Linked DNA regions of Cricetulus griseus. Each later gene encodes a partner of the first gene's protein in a complex. Links are inferred from orthologs where the notes say so. Each region holds a gene or a part of one and is shown on either strand. Other genes may lie near its edges.

Region 1 (10,384 bases):
TGTTTGTCTTCTGGGTCTGGGTTACCTCACTTAGGATGATTTTTTCCATCCATATGTCTGTGAATTTCACGATGTCATTTTAAAAAATTGAATAATATTCCATTGTGTAAATGTACTATATTTTCTTTATTCATTCTTCGATTTAGAGATATCAGGTTGTTTCCAGGTTCTAGCTATCATGAATAAAGCTGCTGTGAACGTAGTTGGGCAAGGGTCCTTGTGGTAGGATGGAGTGGTATAGCTGGGTCTTGAGGTAGATTGATTCCCAATTTTCTGAGAAACCGCCATATTGATTTCCAAAGTAGATGTAGAACTTGCTCTTCTGCAAGCAATGGAGAAGTGTTTGCCTTGCTTCACATCCTTGACAGCATGAATTGTTACTTAGTTTTTTATCTTGGCCATTCTGACAGGTGTAAGATGGAATCTCAAAGTTGTTTTGATTTCCCTGATGGTTAAGAATGTTGAACATTTCTTTAAGTGTTTCTTAGCCACTTGAGATTCTTCTGTTGAGAATTCTGGGTTTAGATCTGTACTCCATTTTTAACTGGATTATTCGGTTTGTTGATGTCTAGTTTCTTGAGTTCTTTATATATTTTGGATATTATTTCTCTGTCACATTTGGAGTTGGTAAAAATCTTTTCCCTTTCTGTAGGCTGCCGTTTTGTCCTATTGATGGTTTCCTTTGCCTTACAAAAGCTTCTCAGGTTCATGAGATCCTATTTATTAATTGTCAATCTTAGTGCCTGCACTATTGATATTTTGTTCAGGAAGCTGTGTCCTGTGCTATGTGTTCAAGGCTATTCCCCACTTTCTCTTCTGTCAGGTTCAGTGTATCTGATTTTATGTTGACGTCCTTGATCAAGTTGAACTTGAGTTTTGTTCAGGGTGATAGATATGGATTGATTTGCATTCTTGTACATGCCGACCTCCAGTTAGACCAGCACTATTTTTTGTTTTCTTTTTTCCATTGTATAATTTTGGCTTCTTTGCTGAAATCAGGTGTCCATAAGTGTATGGATTTACATCTGGGTCTTCAATTTGATTCCACTAGTTAACTTGTCTGTTTTTATGCCAATGCCATGTAGTTTTTTTTTTTTTAATTGCTCTGTAGTACAGCTTAAAATCAGGGATGGTGACAGCTCTTTTTTTTGTTTGTTTGTTTTTGTTTTTGTTTTTCGAGACAGGATTTCTCTGTGTAGCTTTGGAGCCTATCCTGGCACTTGCTCTGGAGACCAGGCTGGCCTCGAACTCACAGAGATCTGCCTGCCTCTGCCTCCCAAGTGCTGGGATTAAAGGCGTGCGCCACCAACGCCTTGCCTTAGATTTTTTTTTTTTTTTTTTTTTTTTTTTTTTTTTTTTTTTAAATTGTGGGATTACTTTGAGTTTCTCTCCATTTAATGTCCTTTGTATCCCTGATGTTTCTAAGACTTTTATCATGAAGGGGTACTGGATTTTGTTAAAGGCTTTTTCAACATCTAACAAGATGATCATGAGGTAGTTTTTTCTTTCAGTTTGTTTATATGGTACATTTTGTTGACAGATTTTCATATGATGAACCATCTCTGCATCTTTGGGATGAAGCCTACTTGATCGTGGTGGATGATCTTTTTGATGTGTTCTTGGATTTGGTTTGCAAGTATTTTATTGAGTATTTTTGCATCAATGTTCAGGAGGGAAATTGGTCTGTAATTCTCTTTCTTTGTTGAATCTTTGTGTGGTTTTGGTATCAGGGTGACTGTGGCCTCATAAAATGAATTTGGCAATGTTCCTTTTATTTCTATCTTGTGGAATGAGCTGATGAGTATTGGCATTAGCTCTTCATTGAAAGTATGGTAGAATTCTGTGCTTAAAAACATCTGGCCTTGGGCTTTTCTTTCTTTCTTTTCTTTTTTGGTTGGGAGACTTTTAATGATGGCATCTATTTCCTTGGGGGTTATAGGTCTGTTTAAATTGTTTATCTGGTCTTAATTTAACTTTGGTAAGAGGTATCTATCAAGAAAATTGTCCATTTTTTTTTTTAGATTTTCTAATTTTATGGAGTACAGGATTTTGAAGTATGACCTAATGATTTGTTGACTTTCCTCATTGTCTATTTTTATGTCCCCTTTCTGTTTCTGATTTTGTTAGTTTGGATATTCTCTCTCTGTCTTTTAAATAGTTTGGGTATTTGTATATCTTGTTTATTTTCTCAAAGAACCAACTCTCTGTTTCATTAATTCTTTGTATTGTTCTATTTTTTTATTTCAGCCCTCAGTTTATTTCCTGTCTTCTTCTCCTTTTGGGCGTTTGCTTCTTTTTGTTCTAGAGCTTTCAAGTGTGGTGTTAAGTTGCTAGTATGAGATCTCCACAATTTCTTTATGCAGGTACTTAGTGCTTTGAACTTTCCTCTTAGCACAGATTTCATTGTGTCCCATAAGTTTGGGTATGTTGTGCATGCATTTCATTTCTTTCTGTCTTTCTGCCCTGACCCAATAGTCATTCAATAAGGAGATGTTCAATTTCCATGATTTTGTAGACTTTCTGTTGTTGCTGAAATACAGTTTTAATCTGTGACTGGTCTGATAGGATACAGGGAGTTATTTCAGTTTTCTTGTATCTGTTGAGACTTGCTTTGTGTCTTAGTCTGTGGTCAATTTTGGAGACAGTTTCATGAGGTGCTGAGAAGAAAGTATATTCTTTTGTGTTTGGATGAAATGTTCTATAGATATCTGTTAGGTCCATTTGGTTTACACTGTCTGTTAACTCTATTATTTCTCTGTTTACTTTTGTCTGGATAACCTGTCCATTGGTGAGAGTTGGGTATTGAAGTCTCCTACTATTAATGTGTGAGGTTCAATGGGTGATTCAAGCTTTAATAATGTTTCTTTTATAAATGTGGGTGCTCCTGCATTTGGGGCTTGGATGTTAAGGATTGAAATGTCATCTTGGTGAATTTTTCCTTTGATGAGTATGAAGTATCCTTTCCTATCACTTTTGATTAATTTTGGTTTGATGTCTATTTTGTTAGATATTAAAATAGACATACCAGCTTGCTTCTTGGGTTCATTTGCTTGGAAAAATCTTTTTCCATCACTTTAATGTCTGTTTTTGAGGTTGAAGTGTGTTTCTTGTATGCAACAGAGGTGTGGGTTCTGTTTTTGTAACCATTCTATTAGTCTGTGTCTTTTTATTTGGGAATTGAGTCCAGTGATATTGAGACATATTAATGACCAATGATTGTTACTTCCTGTTATCTTGTTGTTTTTGATGATAATTGTGTGTTTGTGTTGTGCTTCCCTTTTTTTGGTTTTGCTGATGTGAAATTATTTCCTGTGTTTCATGGGTGTAATTAACTTTCTTGGGTTGGAATTTTCCTTCTAGTACCTTCTGTAGGGCTAGATTTGTGGATAGATATTGTTTAAATTTGACTTTGCCATGGGATAGCTTGTTTTCTCTGTCTGTGATAATTGAAAAATTTGCTTTGTATAATAGTCTGGCTGTCATTTGTGGTTTCTTAGAGTCTGCAAGACATCTGTCCAGGGCCTTCTGGCCTTTTGAGTCTCCATTGAGAAGTCGGACGTAATTCTAATAAGTCTGCTTTTATATGTTACTTGGCCTTTTCCCCTTGCAGCTTTTTATATTTTTTCTTGGTTCTGTATGTTTAGAGTTTTGATTATTATGTGGCGTGGAACTTTCTTTTCTGGTCCAATCTATTAGGTGTTCTGTAACCTTCTTGTACCTTTATAGGCATGCCATTTTATAAGTTGGGAAATTTTTCTTCTATGATTTTTGGTAAAAATACTTTCTGGGCTTTTGAACTGGGATTCTTCTTTATTCCTATTATTCTTAGGTTTGGTCTTTTCATAATGTCCCAGATTTCCTGGATGTTTTGTGTAAGGATTTTTTTTTTAGATGTAACATTTTCTTTTACTGTTGTATCTATTTCTTCTATCATATCTTCAATGTTGGTGAGACTTCATGGTGTAGATTCTCTGAAGTTTCCAGGAGACACAGAGATTGACTTTTAAAAAGTCTTCCCTGAGGTTTAAACCCCAGAGTCCATAAAGACTCTACCACTGAGCCTCACCTGCATTCAGATGTTTAACCTTTAAGTCTCTGTGTTCTGGGAGTTTCAGACTACCGAGCTATATTAACATGAATTGTCAAAATGCTCATCATAGACCTTAGAGGAAGCTGAAGAAATTGTTCACATGGTACAGAAATTCTGAAACATGATGTCCCTAGATGGGTTTGATTTTCTCTGATAATGGATTCTGAAGACTCTACTCATACAGACTCATATGAACATTAAAAATAGTTGTCATTTGGATGACAGTGTATTCTACTTAATAGCCACCCATAGATTTATTTTTTGTTGAAACAATAAATCTCTTAAAAACTCATCTGTTCAATTGGGATCTATGAGCCTTTTAATAGGATTTTTGAAAGAAAGTGCAGGATTTATAGCTCCGTATAAATTGCCTGACATGGAAGTTAAGGTCAGTAGAGCTTTGTTCAGTCGGTCGGAGTTGAACCCGGAAGCAAAAAAGACTTGTTTCTTTCTCGTTCTGTAGTGCTAGGTGCCAAAAGCTCTCATCTTTAGAATAGTATTTTCTTAACTTAGGATGACAGAGCAGAGTTCTAGTACTCAGGAAAGTATTTCATAAGTACAAGAATGATTTGAGATGTAGGTCGGTCCTTGAGATGATGTATTCAGGGTTCCTCATTTCACGGAAAGACAGTGCATTTGTGCAAGTCAGAATCTGGGAGTCATTTTAGATGCCTTTTCCCCCTAATCTGTAATGGGTGAATGCTGTCACTCTGTCAAGTCTTCTTAAAGGTCACATACCCACTCTCCTCATGGCCACCACTCCAATCTGCACCATCACCCTTTGTCTGAAGTAGCCACCTCATCCACAACAGAGTGACCTTTCAAAACACACACCTATGAGACTGTCTGTGGTTTTGCATTGTTCTCAGGATAACAGGGAATGGCTGTTCTGGGGATGATAGGGTCTCTCTCCAGCCTCTTCCAGCCCAGACACTACAGTTGCCAGTGACTTCCCTGATGCGCTGATGGGAGAGGCTTCCTGTGCTCTGTGCTCCACTAGACCCACATTCCTTTGCTCATGGTGTTTGCATAGATCTAGATTTAGACATTCAAGCCAGGCATGGTGGTTCATGTCTGACATACCACCATAGGGGAGGCTGAGCAGGAGGATCATTTCAAGTTTGCATAGTAAAAACAAATTGGATACTTGCTTTTGTGTTCGGTGTGTGGGAGCACACATGCCAGAGGTTAACTCTGAGTGACAATCCACTGTGATGCAATTACACACCTTGCTTTTGACATGAGTGCTAGGAATTGAGTTTAGGTCCTCAGGGTTGAGTGGCAAGCAGGTTACTGAATTGTATGTGTCTCTCCTGCAGAAAACAAGCTCCACAAGCTGCATTTGTGTCTATAGTCTCATCACCAAGTCCTAACCTTGTCTCAGTGTTTGAAAGAAAGTAGTTGCTCAGTATATTTGTTGAATGAATAAATGACTGTTTCTAATTGTTCAGGTGGAAGAAGAGGAACCCACCGGATACATTCGTTTTGAAAAGTTTCTTCCAGTGATGACCAAAGCACTTCTGGAAAGAAAGTAAGGAAGTAAATCCAATTTTAAGACAAGATAACTAGAATGGCAGTAATTTCAAAACATTTGGCTGGCCAGGTGTGATGCCTTATGCCTGTAATTCCAGCATTGATGGGCTGAGGAAGGAGGATTGCCACAAACCTGAGGCTAGCCTTAGTTATGGAGTTTCAGGCCATCCTGAGCTACAGAGTTTTGCCTCAAAACCAAACCAAACCAAACCAAACCAAACCAAACCAAACCAAACCACTTGGCCTTTTATATTTTATTTACCCAGTCTATATCTTAGGGTAGTTTCCTCTAGCCTTTCAGTGTACTGCAGACTGGTTTAGGGATGTGCTTATAAATATAAACCATGCTAGCATTTATTAATACAAGCAAGAAATAATGAAAAGGAAAAGGAGCTACAAAACCAACAACATTGTAGTTATATTTAACTGTGAATTACTATTTAAAAATAAAAATTAACATTAGTTACTTTCCTAGCATAAGACAGCATTAGCATATGACAGTTGATTGATTGTAGATGTTTTGGTTGTAGATAAATTTATTTTTATATCAATGAGAAAATGCTAATAGGTAATACCAAACATTCCTGTGGGGTAGGTACTGTTGACTTTCATATCCAGAAATCCAAAGAAATTTCATCAAGGGAAATGCCATTAGCATAGTATATTAGTGGCTTTTATTTTGCCTAATGCAGTCATTTATCATGTAGAGACTGAGATAAATATGCTGGCATTAACTCACTTTATTGTAAAATTACAGATACAGACCAATTGGTGAAGATGTCCTTCTCAGAGCTTTTGAGGTGGGTGAACTCCAGATTATTCATGTATATGTGAAAAACTAATTCATCATATAGTATTTATTCAACAAAGAAAATATATCTACTTTCCCCAGGTTTTGGATCCAGCTAAACGAGGGTTTCTGACCAAGGACGAACTGATCAAATACATGACTGAGGAAGGTCAGAGCACTTTATTTCTTATTTGAGTAATTTATGCAAAGATAAATAGGCTTAAAGATGTTTATTTTTTAATTGTGTGTGTGTGTGTGTGTGTGTGTGTGTGTGTGTGTGTCTGTGTGTCTGTGTGTCTGTGTGTGTCTGTGCATCTGAATGCAGTACCCATAGAGACCAGAAGCATCATGTCCCCTGTAGCTAAAGTTACAGATGGTTGCCAGCAACCTGACATGGATACTGGAAACTGAACTCAGGTTCTTGGCAAGAACAGTGCATGGTTTTAACTGCTGAACCATCTCTCCAGCCCAATTAATAAGTTCTAAACAATTATGCAAAAGTTATGGGAGGCGATACTTTAAAAGCAATTGTTTGGTTAAATAATTTATTTATTATTCCTATTATTTTGGTTTGGTATTTGATTTTGTGTAATAGAAGTGTAATGATTACTTGTATAAATTGTGTTTACTTTATTCACTTAAAATATTTTCTGAATAAAAGACATGCCACTTAATATGAGCTGTCAATCATAAACCAATGCCTTTTTAGACAGAAGATTTGAATTATAGTATATAAAAATTTCTTTCAAAAGACTGTCTTCGGTGGTAAAGTTGCAAACAATATAGCCTAATTGAATGCAAATTCACGCAAAACTGTATTTTCTTACGATAATGGGACCTCCTCTGACAAATACCTATATATTTCCTTAAATGTTCTCTTTTTATGTCAATATATATATGTGTGTGTGTGTTTCCGCTAACTGTAAGCAGCATGATGGACAATCATTAATGCTGTTCAGACACACACACCCTGCACTAAGGAAGGAGTTCTGCTTCCTCTACACACACACACACACACACACACACACCCTGCACTATCTTCAGCTCCCAGATGCACAGGCCACGTGGTGAGTGATGCAACAGTCACCCATCAGTTGGACATGGACATGGGTATCATTTTGAGCAAGGAGACCAGTACTGGAAGCTCTATGCACACCTGATTTGGCCATTTTAACTCAGTTCCCCCTCAGGAAACAGGAAGTGAGAGAAGGAGTAAGATGAAAGCCATAGCTGCCATCCAGGATCCCCTACTATGTTAAAATCATCTGAGTAGTTAACTTAACTAATTAACCCAGGATGAAAGGAAGTTAACCCTAAAGTATATTGGGCCACATGAAATTAATAAAAACAGCCAAAGAGGTTGAGTCATTCCCACTGTGTGCCTGTTGTATGTTTATTGGTAAAGCACAGTGGACGGTAATGACACTGGAATCTGATCCCTTTCTTGAGAAGCAAAGCTAACTTGTGAAATAGATCAATATGAGACATTAGAAAAATAGCTATCAGAAGATCAATGCAAGCTGAAACTAGCCTGGAAAGGTTGGCCTGGGAAGAGAGAATAGCTTCCTTGAGAAGGTAGGTTTATTCGTTTGCTTTTGTTTTGAGACAGGGTTGCATTCTATAACCCAGATGAATCTGGTGTTTACTACGTATGCCAGGCTGGCATTAAACTCAAGGCAATTCTCCTGCTTCAGCCTCTCAGATGGGATTACAGATGGGAGCCACCATTCTGTGCTTCAGAAGATAGGGTGAGCCATCCAGGGCAGGCGTAGTGAGATCTTATATGTTATAGCACCCTAAGAAAGGATGAGCCATCCAGGGCAGGCGTAGTGAGGTCATCTATGTTATAGCACCCTAAGATAGGATGAGCCATCCAGGGCAGGCGTAGTGAGGTCATCTATGTTATAGCATCCTAAGATAGGATGAGCCATCCAGGGCAGGCGTAGTGAGGTCATCTATGTTATAGCATCCTAAGATGGGATGAGCCATCCAGGGCAGGCGTAGTGAGGTCATCTATGTTATAGCATCCTAAGATGGGATGAGCCATCCAGGGCAGGCGTAGTGAGGTCATCTATGTTATAGCATCCTAAGATGGGATGAGCCATCCAGGGCAGGCGTAGTGAGGTCATCTATGTTATAGCATCCTAAGATAGGATGAGCCATCCAGGGCAGGCGTAGTGAGGTCATCTATGTTATAGCATCCTAAGATGGGATGAGCCATCCAGGGCAGGCGTAGTGAGGTCATGTATGTTATAGCACCCTAAGATAGGATGAGCCATCCAGGGCAGGCGTAGTGAGGTCATCTATGTTATAGCACCCTAAGATGGGATGAGCCATCCAGGGCAGGCGTAGTGAGGTCATCTATGTTATAGCACCCTCACACATCATAGTATCAGCATGTGAGTTTCAACAGATGCGCTATGAATGAACAAATGAGAAGCTGATTGAAGACAGATTCAGTTGGTTTGTGGGAAATGGAGAAATGGAACAGAATCTGGAAGGAAGGCAGCCAGGTACAAGGAAGAAGGCGAGCTCAGCCAGCCTTTGAGTCTTGTTGGAGGGAGGGAGGTGGTTTGGGGCTGAATTGTAGAGGCCTGCTCTTGAGCTCAGGGCATCCCCTGGGCGGTGGAGAGTTGGACTGAGTCACCCATTGTAGCAGTGCTGTGGGAAAGTGATTCTGGTGCTGGTCAGTTTGTAGGTGAGTAAGACAGGTGCAGCCAGCGAGATGAGCAGGGGGCTCCTTCAGCATTCCCAGGGTTCCCTAATACAGGCCTGGCCTGGCACAAGGACTAGAAAAGGGAATTAATGCAGTATAACTTTATCACAGGACCCTGGGCCATGGTGAATAACAGAGGGCAGGGGACGAAAATGGATGACGAGTATAAAGGAACACCAGGCTTTTGCCCTGGACCATGGATGTCAATAATAGTAATGCTACCGACTGAGACAGTGAAGTCAGGCACTACGGTACTGTGGGTAGGGATGACATGGCCATGTGGGTCACAGGAATATGCTTCATGAGAACTTCCAGGAAGGCATACTTACAGAGTTCTTGTACTCCAGGGCAACTGTTGCCTATCCTAATAGACAGAGCCTGCATCAGTTCTTTTCAGAGAAGGATATAAATGGTTTCAGTTATTTATTCAACATTATTCAATTTCTTCCAAGTTGTCTGAGCCAGTATATTTGTTAGGTACATATAAGATGCACTGTGATATCTTAATGCATCATTATTATTGGATGGAAAACACTCTTCCTCTAAGTACATTTGCAGCTGCCTAGTTCAGTAAAATGGTTGCTTAAGAAATGATATATTTTTTTAAGAGAGATGGTTTTTCTGTGTATCACTGATTGTCCTGGAACTCTCTCTGTAGACCAGGCTGGCCTTGAACAAAGAGATCCACTTGCCTGTGCCTTCTCAGTGCTGGGATTAAAGGTGTGCGCCACAGGCCTGGCTAAGAAGTGCTATTTTGGTTCTGAAAATTCCAAATTGTTTTTAAGTGTATCCAAGCTTTTGGACTATAAAGTTACTTCCATGTCCTCTCATAGTATCCACAGAACAGCCAACACAACTTTAAGTTTAAGAATGTACATTCTAAATGCCCAGGAGATTGTAAGATAGACACCATAAACCACACTGAGTGTACCTACAAGTACCTGTCAAGTATCTACCAGACAGAGTTCATGTGTGTCCAGTATGTATATTGCATCAGATGGTATTTAGCATCAGAAAAGATCTTAAGCCTTTAAAAAACAAATGCATGTTGCTATGTGTCAGATGTTTGTGGAAGTGCTATTTGAATAATAACAGATTTAATCCTTTTACCAAGCCCATGGGTGGAGAGTATTAGCATCATCTGTATTGTGTAGACTGGGAAGATAGGTTAAGCAACCTGCCCAAGATCATAAAGCTAGCAAGAGGGCTAGAACTTGACTCTGTGAGGCTTGTCCTTTAAGATGTGCCTCTCAGT
Region 2 (11,051 bases), on another chromosome or scaffold:
ACAGAAGTGCCCAAAAAGAGTCTGTAGATCCCATAATCCACAGGGAAGAAGGAAGGCTTACTGTTCCATTCTATGTATGATGCCATTGTGATGCCCAGTAATGGCCCGGTTCCAGGATGGAGCCCTCCCAGATGGAGGGGGCAATAGCAAGCTACCCCATCACACTCTCTACCCACAATCAATTTTTTAAATCATATGCAAGATGCTAGAAGGCATCCCCCAAAGAGAATCTCCCCCATATTGTGCAAGAAATACTAAACTGCAAAATTTAGGAGACTCTGGTCAAAGCAAGTCCACTAGAGGGAGCACTAACCAACTCTATGCTGCAGAGAGCTTGGGGGCTTCTAAACACCCTGTCTGCAGAGTAACCTCACAGAGAAATAGGGAGAGTGAGACAATTGTTGAGCGGGAGAGAAAGAAGTCCTAGAAACACACCACTGAGTATATATATATATATTATATATATATATATATAATATATATATATATATATATCCTTATTTTACATAGCAATCTCGGTCCTGTCTTCCCATGCCCACCCACCCCCATCCCATTCCCACTGCCGTCCACTCCCCAGGGAGGGTAAAGCCTTCCCAGGGGGATCATCAAAGTCTGTCACATCATTTGGGGCAAGGCCTAGGCCCTCCCCCATGTATCTAGGCTGAGAGAGTATCCCTCCATAGGGAATGGGCTCCCAAAGTCTGTGCACTAGGATAAATACCGGTTCCACTGCCAGAGGCCCCATAGACTGCCCTGGCCTCCCAACTGACACCTATCTTCAGGGGGCCTGGTTGGGTCCTATGCTGGTTCCCCAGATGTCAGACTGGGGTCCGTGTGTTCCCACTTGCTCAGGTCAGCTGTTTCTGTGAGTTTCCCCAGCATGGTCTTGACCCCTTTGCTCATCCCTCCTCCCTCTCTACAACTGGACTCCAGGAGGGAACTACAAAACTTATACACCAAGAAATCCAAGCTGAGCAAAATTAAGTAGCTCAGTTCGCAACTCTGCCTAATTTGTGGCCTCCTTTCTGGGTCAGCATCCCCAAGTCCACAGCTCTTCTCTGTTCTCATTTCTCTTAAGTGGAAAACTCTCAACTACCTGTGCCAGCACGTGTTTCCTGCACAAGCCACAGATAGCATTTCTGAAGTAGACCTCAAGTTCTAAAGCAAATCATGTCACTGTGTTCATGAGACCTCGGGATATAAAGTACCTGCAATGGCTACTTTCCCTGCCTTTCTTCTCCATCTGTAAAGCACTAGCCTCTCACACTGGATGCTTCTAGATTTCTAGACTGCAAAGTCTCCAGATGATAGGCAGTGCCTGTGTAGACATGAATAATAGCTATTCAGCTCCAAGACCTTTTCTTTGCGGGTAGGAGGGGAATCTACCTACACAGGACCTTTGTGTGAGTCAATTTAGCCCATTCTACCTGCCTATGAACACAGTGTTTCCCGGTTGCCTGGGCAGCAGGCAGTCTCCAGAAACCCAACATCCCAGTTCTTGGTCCTGCCTCTTGGGGAAGTTTTTCAGCCTGGATTGGCTCCCAGGACCCAGGCTCCTTCCTCCCTAGGCTCAATCTGCTTGGGACTCTATCTTTCCCAAGGAGTGTTATTCCCCAGGGAGACAGCACTCAAGCAAGAGAAGGTCCTCCAGGTAGGAAGGGGAAGAATAAGCATGTTGGGGAGACAGAAGGGACCAGGTCCAGAGATTTATCTTCTCTAAAAGGGCTGTCTGCTGCCCATAGAATTGCTCTACCTCCCAGCCTTGCCTGGGGTTCCCAGGAGACCAAGAACCAAAGCTTCTAGAAAGTGTAAGATACACTGGAAGACTAGAATTCTGACTGCCCCAAGACCCCTACCTCTAGGAGTCAGGAGAGCATTTCTGTATGCAGACCTACACAGAAGGTCTTCCCTCCCCCAGGGCAGCAAGGATGCCACCTAAAACCAAAGGAAAGGGGAGAAAAACTGGGGCACAGAAGAAGAAAAAAAAATCAAGTCCTGGTGAGTCACAGGGCGTGTCTGTGACACAAAGGTCCTCGGAGGGAATCCAGCCCTCTGGGCAACAAATGGAGTGGGTTTGTTTTGGTTTTGTCTTTTGTTCTTTTGACACAGGGTCACTATGGGACCCAGGCTGCCCCAGTCTTCATAGTGACAGGATTACAGGCGTTGCTACCACACTTGGCTAGGGTGAAGCTTCCTGGCCCTCCTCTGCAGATCCTTGCGTCCAGATTCCATGGGGCTGAGGAAGTGGAGAATGCCTCCTTCCCAAATTCCCCCTGGAGCCCCATCTAGTTCTTTGCCCTCATCATATTTTTCACCCTTATTTTGAGCACCCACCGTGCACATGGTGGGTGAAGACTCTGCCACTCAGCCGTAAATTTGTCAGATTTGCCATTGGGCCTCCCTCATCCAGCTATCTTCCTCCATCACGAAGGAAGAAGTGCAGGTGCAGAGCAGCACTGGGGTGAGGCCGAGAGAAGGATAACCTGAGACTATTGTCTTGCCAGAACAGATGCAGAGGCTGAGGCCAAGCATAGGATGGTCCTGCTGGAGAAGGAGCTGCTTCAGGACCACTTGGGTAAGAAGTTTGAAGCCTCAGGAGATGGCAGAGATAGAAGTCCTAGTTAGGGTCATCGTTGCTGTGATGAAACACCATGACCAAATCAACTTGGGGAGGAAAGGGTTTATTTGGCTTAAGCTTCCAAATCACTGTTTATTATTGAAGAAAGTCAGGATAGGAATCCGAGTAGGGCAGGATCCTGGAGGCAGGAGCTGATACAGAGGTCATGAAGGGTTGCTGCTTACTGCCTTGCTTCACATGGCTTGCTCAGCCTGCTTCCCTTTTTGTTGTTGTTGTTTTATTTTGTTTTGTTTTTCGGTTTTTCGAGACAGGGTTTCTCTGTGTAGCTTTGGAGCCTATCCTGACACTCGCTCTGGAGACCAGGCTGGCCTCGGACTCACAGAGATCCGCCTGCCTCTGCCTCCCGAGTGCTGGGATTAAGGCGTGCGCCACCAATGCCCAGCTCAGCCTGCTTTCTTATAGAACGCAGGACCACCAGCTCAGTGGTGGCACCATCCACAGTGGGTAGGCCCTCCCCATTAGTCACTAATTAAGAAAATGCCCTAAAATCTTGCCTACAGCCTGATCTTATGGAAGCATTTTCTCAGTTGAGGCTACCTCTTCTCTAATGGCTCTAGCTTATGTCAAGTTGACAATAAACTAGCCACCCAATGTATGGAACATAGGGCATTTCTGGGTTCTTGGGGAACTGGAAAGTTTGAACTGTGTGCAGGGCTAAACCAAGATAGCCATTAATCTATTTGCAAGATTGTGAGGAAGGGCTAGGCAGTGAAGATCAATGAAAGAAGCTATCTCCCACCCCTTCCCCCAGCTGGGAATAGAATCACAACTTCATTCATGATAGGTAAGTAGTCTACCATGGAGCTAACCTGCAACTTGGGGAAGCCATTGTCTTATAGTGGCCAGAACATGGAGGGATTATTGACTTAGGAATGAAAACCCTATGGGTTTTGGGGCAACTAATAAAGAGTATACGAAATTGACACCTGTCACCAAGTTCACAGAGGTGAACTTAGTTCATGGAGGCCATGGTGATTGGTTCTGTAGGACCCACAGCCAGACCTGAGCATGGCTCTTGACACTGTCCACAGCTCTCCAGAGGGATGAGACCCGCAGAGCCAAGGCTTCTGAAGAGAGGCTGAAGCAGAGGTTGCAAGGGCTAGAAGCTGAACTGGAGAAGGCCCAAAGTGAAAGGGATGCTGTCTATGCAGGTATGATTTGATTGGCCAGGTGGGCAGGAGACAAAGGCATGGAAGAGGACAACCATGAAAATTGGGGAATTCAAGGAAGGGAAATGAAGAGGAATCTAACTGCCATACCCTACCCTCTGCTGTCCCTGCATAGGCAGGGTCCTGAGAACCAAAGACAGATCCCTGGCAGAATGCAGATTACCACATTCTAGAATGTCTAATGCTGCACGCTTGATATCTGTGTGAAACACAATGTAGCCATGGCCCTTTACCTTTATTTTTGGGAGTAAGTGGCAAGAAGGGCCAGGGTCCCCACTTTTAAGCTGATGTGTGGGGTAGGGGGACGTCTGGTTTCCAATCTCCCAAATTTTCAAGGTCTCCCAAGTTTCTTAGTTCTGTTCCTTGAGTGAGACTTTTCCCCACATGCAACCTCATTTCCTTTCTTCATGCCTCTATCCCTATGGTTCCTACCTCAGAGATGAGCCGCCAGCGCCGGGCCCTGCAAGAGGAGTTGAGGACCCGAAGCAAGCAGCTGGAGGAGGAAGTGAGAAGCCTACGGGAGCAGCTAGGTAGTCCCCATCGCTCACTCTTATTCCCCAGGCTCACAAACAATCATGGAAGAGTGGACTTGGGAGGTCCTTCACTTGCTGTCTACAGTCTTCTGGTTGAATTTTAACTAGGGTCACCTTCACCCTAGCTTTTCTCTGAATTGAGAGTTCAGTGGCACAAACCCCTATGTGAGGGGCTGGACTTGGCCTCTCTGGGAGTTTGCTCAGTACTTAAGAGCACTTGTTCTTACAGAGAACCTGAGCCAGCATCCTCATAGTGGCTCACAAACCATCTGTAACCTAAGTGATAGGGGATCTAATTAAAGTCCTCTTCTGACCTCCACAGACACCCACAGGATGCACATACATACATGCAGGCAAAGCACTCATACACATAAAATAACAAAATAAATAACTCAAAAAAATAAAATAAAAAGCCCTCCAAGATAGAAGTAAGGAAAGGTAGGACTCTCACCCCTTTTCCCCCTTTGCTTAATCTCCCCAAACCCAGCAGTTACCCCCTTCACTGCCTTGTCCATCCTAAGCAAAACACATTTCTTGTTAGTTTAGCTGACCTTTGCAACCAAACTACAGAAAACAGTAGACTTAATTTATTTTAGTATCTTCAAACTTGGGCACCTGGTAGAAGGCCTTAAATTACTACTTGTTAAATCAGTGAATATACCAATTAAATAGGAAAACAGGTCAGAAGAGGGCATCAGATCCCCTGGAACTGGAGTTAAAGATGATTTTGAGTCACTGGGAACAAAACCTGGGTGCTCTTAAACACTGGGCATTGCTCCATCCCCTCCTGACTCTTTGTAGTCCTCAAAAAGCCCAAGGTGGCCTCGAACTCACAGTGATCCTCCAGCCTCAGTCTCCTGAGTTGTAGGATTACAGATGTGAGCTACCACATCCAAAATATCTTCAGTTTCCGCTATAAATATTCATGAACTGCTTATACAGGCCAGGGATTCCATCTCTAACATTGGCCTTCTTTCAAATTAAAATTCAACATTTATTGAACACCTGCTACATTAGGTGTTTTGTCATCCATTTTCACATTTAAGAGTCATAGCAAACAAGAGGAACGTATATCATTTTCTCTCCAAAGATAAAGAAGGGGCTAGAGAAAGGGTTCAATGATTATGAACACTGGCTGCTCTTCCTGAGGGCCTGGCTTTGTTCCCAGCACCCACATGGTGACTTACAACCATTGTAATTCCAGTTTCAGGAGATCCAATCCAATGCCCTCATCTGTCCTCCACAGGCACCTGCATACATATACACACATGGGGAGGGGGGGAGGGGAGGGATAAAAGTTTTTTAACAGTTTATTTATTAAGTATAGTGTTCTGCCTGCATGCATGCCTGCACACCAGAAGAGGGCAGCAGATCTCATTATAGATGGTTGTGAGCCACCATGAGGGTGCTAGGAGTTCAACTCAGAACCTCTGGAAGAGCAGCCAGTGCTCTGAGCCATCTCTCCATCCCAATAAAATTATTTTTAAAATCCAGATATAAAATTAAAAATAAAAATATGTATAAAGATAGAGAAACTGCACCACATTAGTTGGCACAAGTCTATAATCCCAACCCTGGGAGATAGAGGGAGGACGATCTGGAGTGCAAGGTTGTCCTTGGCTACATGGGGAGTTTAAGGCCAGTCTGGGCTACATAAGACCCTGTCTTAAACAAAACAAAGCCAAACATTTAAGTCATGGAGACCCAGAGATACTTGTCCCATGCTGTATATGTAACAATCACCAGACTTTGGACCCGTCTCCTGTCTCAAGACCTCTACTCACTCTGCCATACCTCAGTGAGTCCTTATAGACCTGGGGGAAGTTGATGACCCTAAAGTCTGTAATGACTCTGTCAAGGTTGGTTACTGCTCTTGGTGTAGTGTCACCATCCTGTCCTCTTTATCTTTCTGCCCTGCACCCTAGAAACATGCCAAAAGGAGGCTAAGACAGCAAGGGAAGAGGCTGAGCAAGCCCTCAGAGAGCAAGATGAAACCCTGTCTCAGCTTCGTGCCCACGTGGCAAACATGGAGGCCGAGTATGAAGAAATCTTGCATGTAAGCACCACCCCCTGGAAGCCATCTTCTCAGGATCCCATAACCCTCCATCCCTATGCTCCCAACTAGTGTGATGACCCACAACCCAAGGGAGCCATCTAAGTATAAACAGAAGATACAACCATTGACAGAGCCAGTGACTTATAATCCCAGTACTTGGGTGGCTAAGGCAGGAAGATTTCAAGTTCAAGGTCAACACTGGCTACAATGTGCTTGCTATATAGCTGCTACATAGTGAGACCTAGACCAAAATAATCAGGGCCTGTGAGTATAGGTCAATGGTAGAGCTCTCACTAGTATGCAAGGCCATGGGTTCAACCTTCCCAAAAGAGGGGAGGGGAGGGGAGCAGGAAGAGGAATGGGGAGGAGGAGGAGCAGGGAACAAAAGGAGTAGCACAGGTTTGTAATCCTACTATTCAGGAGGCTGAGGCAGGAGGATCATAGGTTCAATCAAGACCAACCTAGGTACAGAGTTCAAGGTCAGTCTAGGCAGTATAGTAAGAGATTCCACCTCAAAATAAAAGGTAAAAAGAGGGTTTGATGGACAGCTCAGTGGACAGGGTGCTTGTCTAGCATGTATGAGGCCTTAGTTCCATCCTGAGTGCTGAAGAGAGAGAGAATAATGGGCAGCCAGGAAAGGTAGCTCATGCTTGCAATTCAGTACTTTGGGAAACTGAGGCAGGAGAATTCTGAGTTCAAAGCCAGCCAGGATACAAAGCAAGGGTATCTTACAGAAGAAAGGAAGGAGGGAGGAAAGGAAAGAAGGAAGGAAGGAAGGAAGGAAGGAAGGAAGGAAACGAGAAGGAAAGGAAAGGAAAGGAAAGGAAAAGGAAGAAGGGAAGGAAAGGGAAAGGAAGGAAGGGAAGGGAAGGAAAGGGAAGGAAGGGAAGCCATTGGCAAAGAACTATTCCTAACCAAGCTGGGCAACCTAAGGCAACATTCCCCCTTCCCTGTCTCCGGGAACTGAGAGCTTGTTGTTCACAGGGCAGCCTGGACTGTCTCTTGGCCAAGCTGAGAGCTGCCAAGCCTCAGTGGGATGCAGCTGTGCTGAGACTCCACACCAGGCACAAGGAGCAACTACGTCAGTTTGCTCTCAACCCCCTGGAACTTTGAAGCCATTGGCCCCTAATTTCTGAGGCCTAGCAATAAAGCGACTTGGAGTAGAATTCATCAGAAGTGTGGATTGTGGCCTTTAGCATTGAGGAACAGCTCTCGTGGGGACATCTATATTCTGGGTTAACCCCATTGTCCCACTGTTCTAAACACTGAACAATAAGAAATGGAAAAGGTTCTAAACCCTCTCCTACAGAAACTAGATCCCATTCCCTTAAGCCTGGAGCACCTTTGGTTCCTTTAAACTACCATGGCTTATCCTCACTAAGAAAAACACAAAGCCAGATGTCCATGGAAAGACTGCATATATATATATATATATATATATATATATATATATATGTATGTATGTATGTATGTATGTATGTATTTATTTATTTATTTATTTATTTGGACAGTGGCATACTAAGGTGTTCACGTAGAGGCTAGAGGACAACTCCCAGGAATTGGTTCTCTCCTTCTACCAACAGGGTTCTGAGGATTGAACTTGGGTTGTCAGGCTTAGCAGCAAACACCTTTACCAACTGAGCCATCTCACTGGCCCACTGGGAAAGGCTGTAATAGGACATTACAGTGGCCAGGAACCAGCTCCCAAGTTTCTTTTTCTTTTTAGTTTTATGAGACAGGGTTTCTGTGTAGTTTTGGAGCCTGTCCTGGAACTAGCTCTTGTAGACCAGGCTGTCCTCAAAGTCACAGAGATCTGCCTGTCAAAGTCACAGAGATCTGCCTGCTGGCTCCAAGTTTCTAAGATGTCCACAGAAGGAAAATATGGCTGATCTCCAAATTCTCATGCCATTTAACACTGGAGTCATAGCTAGCCTAAGTTCTCAATGGCTTTGATCCTAAATGGCTCCACAGCATCACCTTCTTGGGCAGAAGAAATTCATCTTTGTAGCACAGGTCCTCAAAACTTCTACAAAACATCCCGTGGAAACTTGGGCTCCCTCATGAGTCCTCACCCCTCTGCTGGAGGTAGGTGCCTCCCAAGCAGTCATGTGATCATTGGAGTCTGAATTTTCCAAGTCCCACTTCCCATTTGGGGAGGTCATTCCTGGCTCCCTCCACCTCAGGGTGCAGAGCAAGGGCACGAAAGCCATTAGGCAAGTCTGTGCCAAGCAGGCATGTCCTATAGCAGCTCTGCAGCCAGGCTCCAGTCCTACAAGGAGAGAAGGACAGAGTCAGCCTGGGACCAGAAGGTTTCATTTTCCTGCTACAACATGTTGTGACTGCTCAGGAATGGGACTTGTTTGATGGATCCTCTGCCCCCACCTCCTACGACCTACAGTTCCCCCCTACACATCCCACAGTGCTCCACCCAGCAACCCTCCTCTCTGTCCTTTTCATAGCTCCATCTGTTTCTTTGACTTCACCTTTCCAGACTCGGAGGAAATCCAGGCTTCTAAGCCCTGCAGATTCCTAGCTGCCAGCTTCAAGCAGAGGGGTGGCTCGGCCTCAGCCAGCTGCTGAAGCCTATCCAGGTCACTGTCACCACCCACAGGGTATCCATTCACCTCCAAAATTGCATCTCCCATTTGCAGCCCTGCTCGGGCAGCTGAGCCTCCTGGGGTCACCTGGCAGTATTGGGGGGGCACAGAAACATTGGTCAAGTGTTCTAAGGCTGGGCATGTAGATGGGCAGCAGAAGGTAGGTGATGAACGATGGAAAGAGGCCAACGTGGGTGGGGCGTCAGTCACCTGGGAGATGAAGAGACAAGGCCCACTGGCCACGAAGCAGAGTCTGAATCCATAGCCACCTCCAGCCCCAGGGTACAAGAAGCATTGGCGGGAGCCAACAGTGTCAGAAGGCTCAGCTGCATCTTCAACTAGATGATCCTTGGTTTCCGCCAGAGGGGAGTCAGCAATCTCTGTGTTCTCCAAGAAGAGGAGAGGAGACAGCCGTACCTGGTAGTGGGGGCAGAGAGAGCAAACCTGTGGCACTTGAGCCCTGCTCCATCCCTACCCCCTCCCTAACCCTGTCACTTACGCACCATGCTGAAGAAGCGGTCAGCCTCAGGATCAACGACAATAAGGGAGACACAAGAGCCCTGTGCTCGGATCCTAGACACGGTTTCCTCATGGCCCAGCCCGTCCACACTTTCCCCAGCCACAGCCACCAGGCGGTCTCCAGCCTTCATCCCAGCCTTGTCAGCTGGCAGTCCTGGGTCCACATCCCACAAGAACTGCCCTGGGACATAGACATATTCACTTCTCCTCCCTGACTCACCCCATGCTCTCCCGGGGACACTGAGAAGAGTGCAACTGGATATATATGACCATCCTAAGGCCCACTTACACACACACACACACACACACACACACACACACACACACACACACACACCTCGGGCTGCCACTCACCAAGGCGACCATCCAGGCCCTTCTCCTCCCGGAGCAGGAACCCAAAGCCTTGAGGTCCTTTCTCTATGTTTAGACACCGGGGCTTGGCAGGCAGTGCCCAGCCCTCTGCCAGGGGTGCAGCAAGAGGCATTCCCAGCTGATGACACTGTTCCTCTACCTCCGGCCCCGCCACCAGCAGAGTCACCTGATCTCCACTCTGCGAAAGCTGTGGGGACCCAGCAAGAGTAGAAGCATGAACCATCCATGGGGGGGATGGAGAGGTAGATATCTCCTCAGCACCTCCCCCCAGGCCCACACAAACTGTAGAGAAAAGAAAAAGAGGGGCGACGTATACAGACCCTCAGATCAGGAGGCGGGGTTCACGTAGCAGCCGCCACAGGAAGCCCTACCTTCCTACTGAGCTGGTTGGAAGTGAACTTCTCCACACAGACCCCATTCACTTCTAACAGCCGGGCCCCAGGGGGCACTCCTGCTCTCTCAGCAGCTCCTCCTGAACTGAGCACCAGCCAGAAAGGGCCCCGATTTCCTAAAGGCAGACAAAGTAACTCCCAGTCTGCTCCTTGCCTGGAACAGAGTCTGAATTTCCCATCTCTGACAATCCCATCTGGCCCTAAGCTCACCATGGGTGATGCTGAAACCAAAGCCACCTTCGTCTTTTACTATGTGGCACAACCGGGGCCTGACCTCTGGGCCTAGGGCAGGACAACAGAAGACATCGCTCCCCTGCTGAGCGCGCACCACATCATGTGCATGTTGCGCTAAGACTGTCAGCAAGACCCGGGGACCGCTGGCCCGGATGCAGCGTACTACCTATAAAAGGACATGGGAGAGAGGTTGGCCCCCTGGTGGGATCCCAGGACCCCCTTAGAATTTGTATTTCCATTGTAGAAATCAGTTCTGTAGGAGTCTTTATAAAGCGCTCTAACTGGGTACCTCCGAATCATGGGGACTAGGGAGAGTGAGGCTTGGCCAATGCATTAGAGTGCCCAGGCAAAGAAGTGCTATGGAGTGTTCCTTTGTGCCACAAGAAGTCTCAGCCCAGCCTCACCATCGCATAGTCCTCGTGTTCCACGTTCTTATTGTTCACCGCTAGGATCCGGTCTCCTTCCCGGAGACCATGACGTTGGGCAGAAGAGCCTGGATCTACCCTGCACACCACATGGTCAGCCTTGCCCAGCTGCTGCT

The links. Proteins that work in one complex are often made in the same cells at the same time.
Region 2: Efcab2 (region 1) and Ccdc153 share a complex: the UniProt entries of both Homo sapiens proteins name them as parts of the nexin-dynein regulatory complex. The link is inferred for Cricetulus griseus from reciprocal best matches to the Homo sapiens genes DRC8 and DRC12.

The regions. Positions count from the first base shown.
Region 1 is NC_048598.1:15,665,813-15,676,196, reverse strand, and holds part of Efcab2 (dynein regulatory complex protein 8), read left to right. Parts: intron 1-5,541; coding exon 5,542-5,621; intron 5,622-6,380; coding exon 6,381-6,423; intron 6,424-6,515; coding exon 6,516-6,582; intron 6,583-10,384. UniProt on the Homo sapiens protein: Component of the nexin-dynein regulatory complex (N-DRC), a key regulator of ciliary/flagellar motility which maintains the alignment and integrity of the distal axoneme and regulates microtubule sliding in motile axonemes.
Region 2 is NC_048597.1:155,927,005-155,938,055, forward strand, and holds Ccdc153 (coiled-coil domain-containing protein 153), read left to right. Parts: upstream 1-899; 5' UTR 900-1,651; intron 1,652-1,918; 5' UTR 1,919-1,928; coding exon 1,929-1,998; intron 1,999-2,024; exon of another isoform or gene 2,025-2,063; coding exon of another isoform or gene 2,064-2,068; intron 2,069-2,504; coding exon of another isoform or gene 2,505-2,509; coding exon 2,510-2,575; intron 2,576-3,669; coding exon 3,670-3,789; intron 3,790-4,244; coding exon 4,245-4,337; intron 4,338-6,265; coding exon 6,266-6,396; intron 6,397-7,380; coding exon 7,381-7,509; 3' UTR 7,510-7,566; downstream 7,567-11,051. Other genes in the region: Pdzd3 (Na(+)/H(+) exchange regulatory cofactor NHE-RF4), read right to left, coding at 8,636-8,665, 8,880-9,080, 9,204-9,410, 9,497-9,693, 9,867-10,071, 10,256-10,392, 10,487-10,676, 10,915-11,051. UniProt on the Homo sapiens protein: Component of the nexin-dynein regulatory complex (N-DRC), a key regulator of ciliary/flagellar motility which maintains the alignment and integrity of the distal axoneme and regulates microtubule sliding in motile axonemes.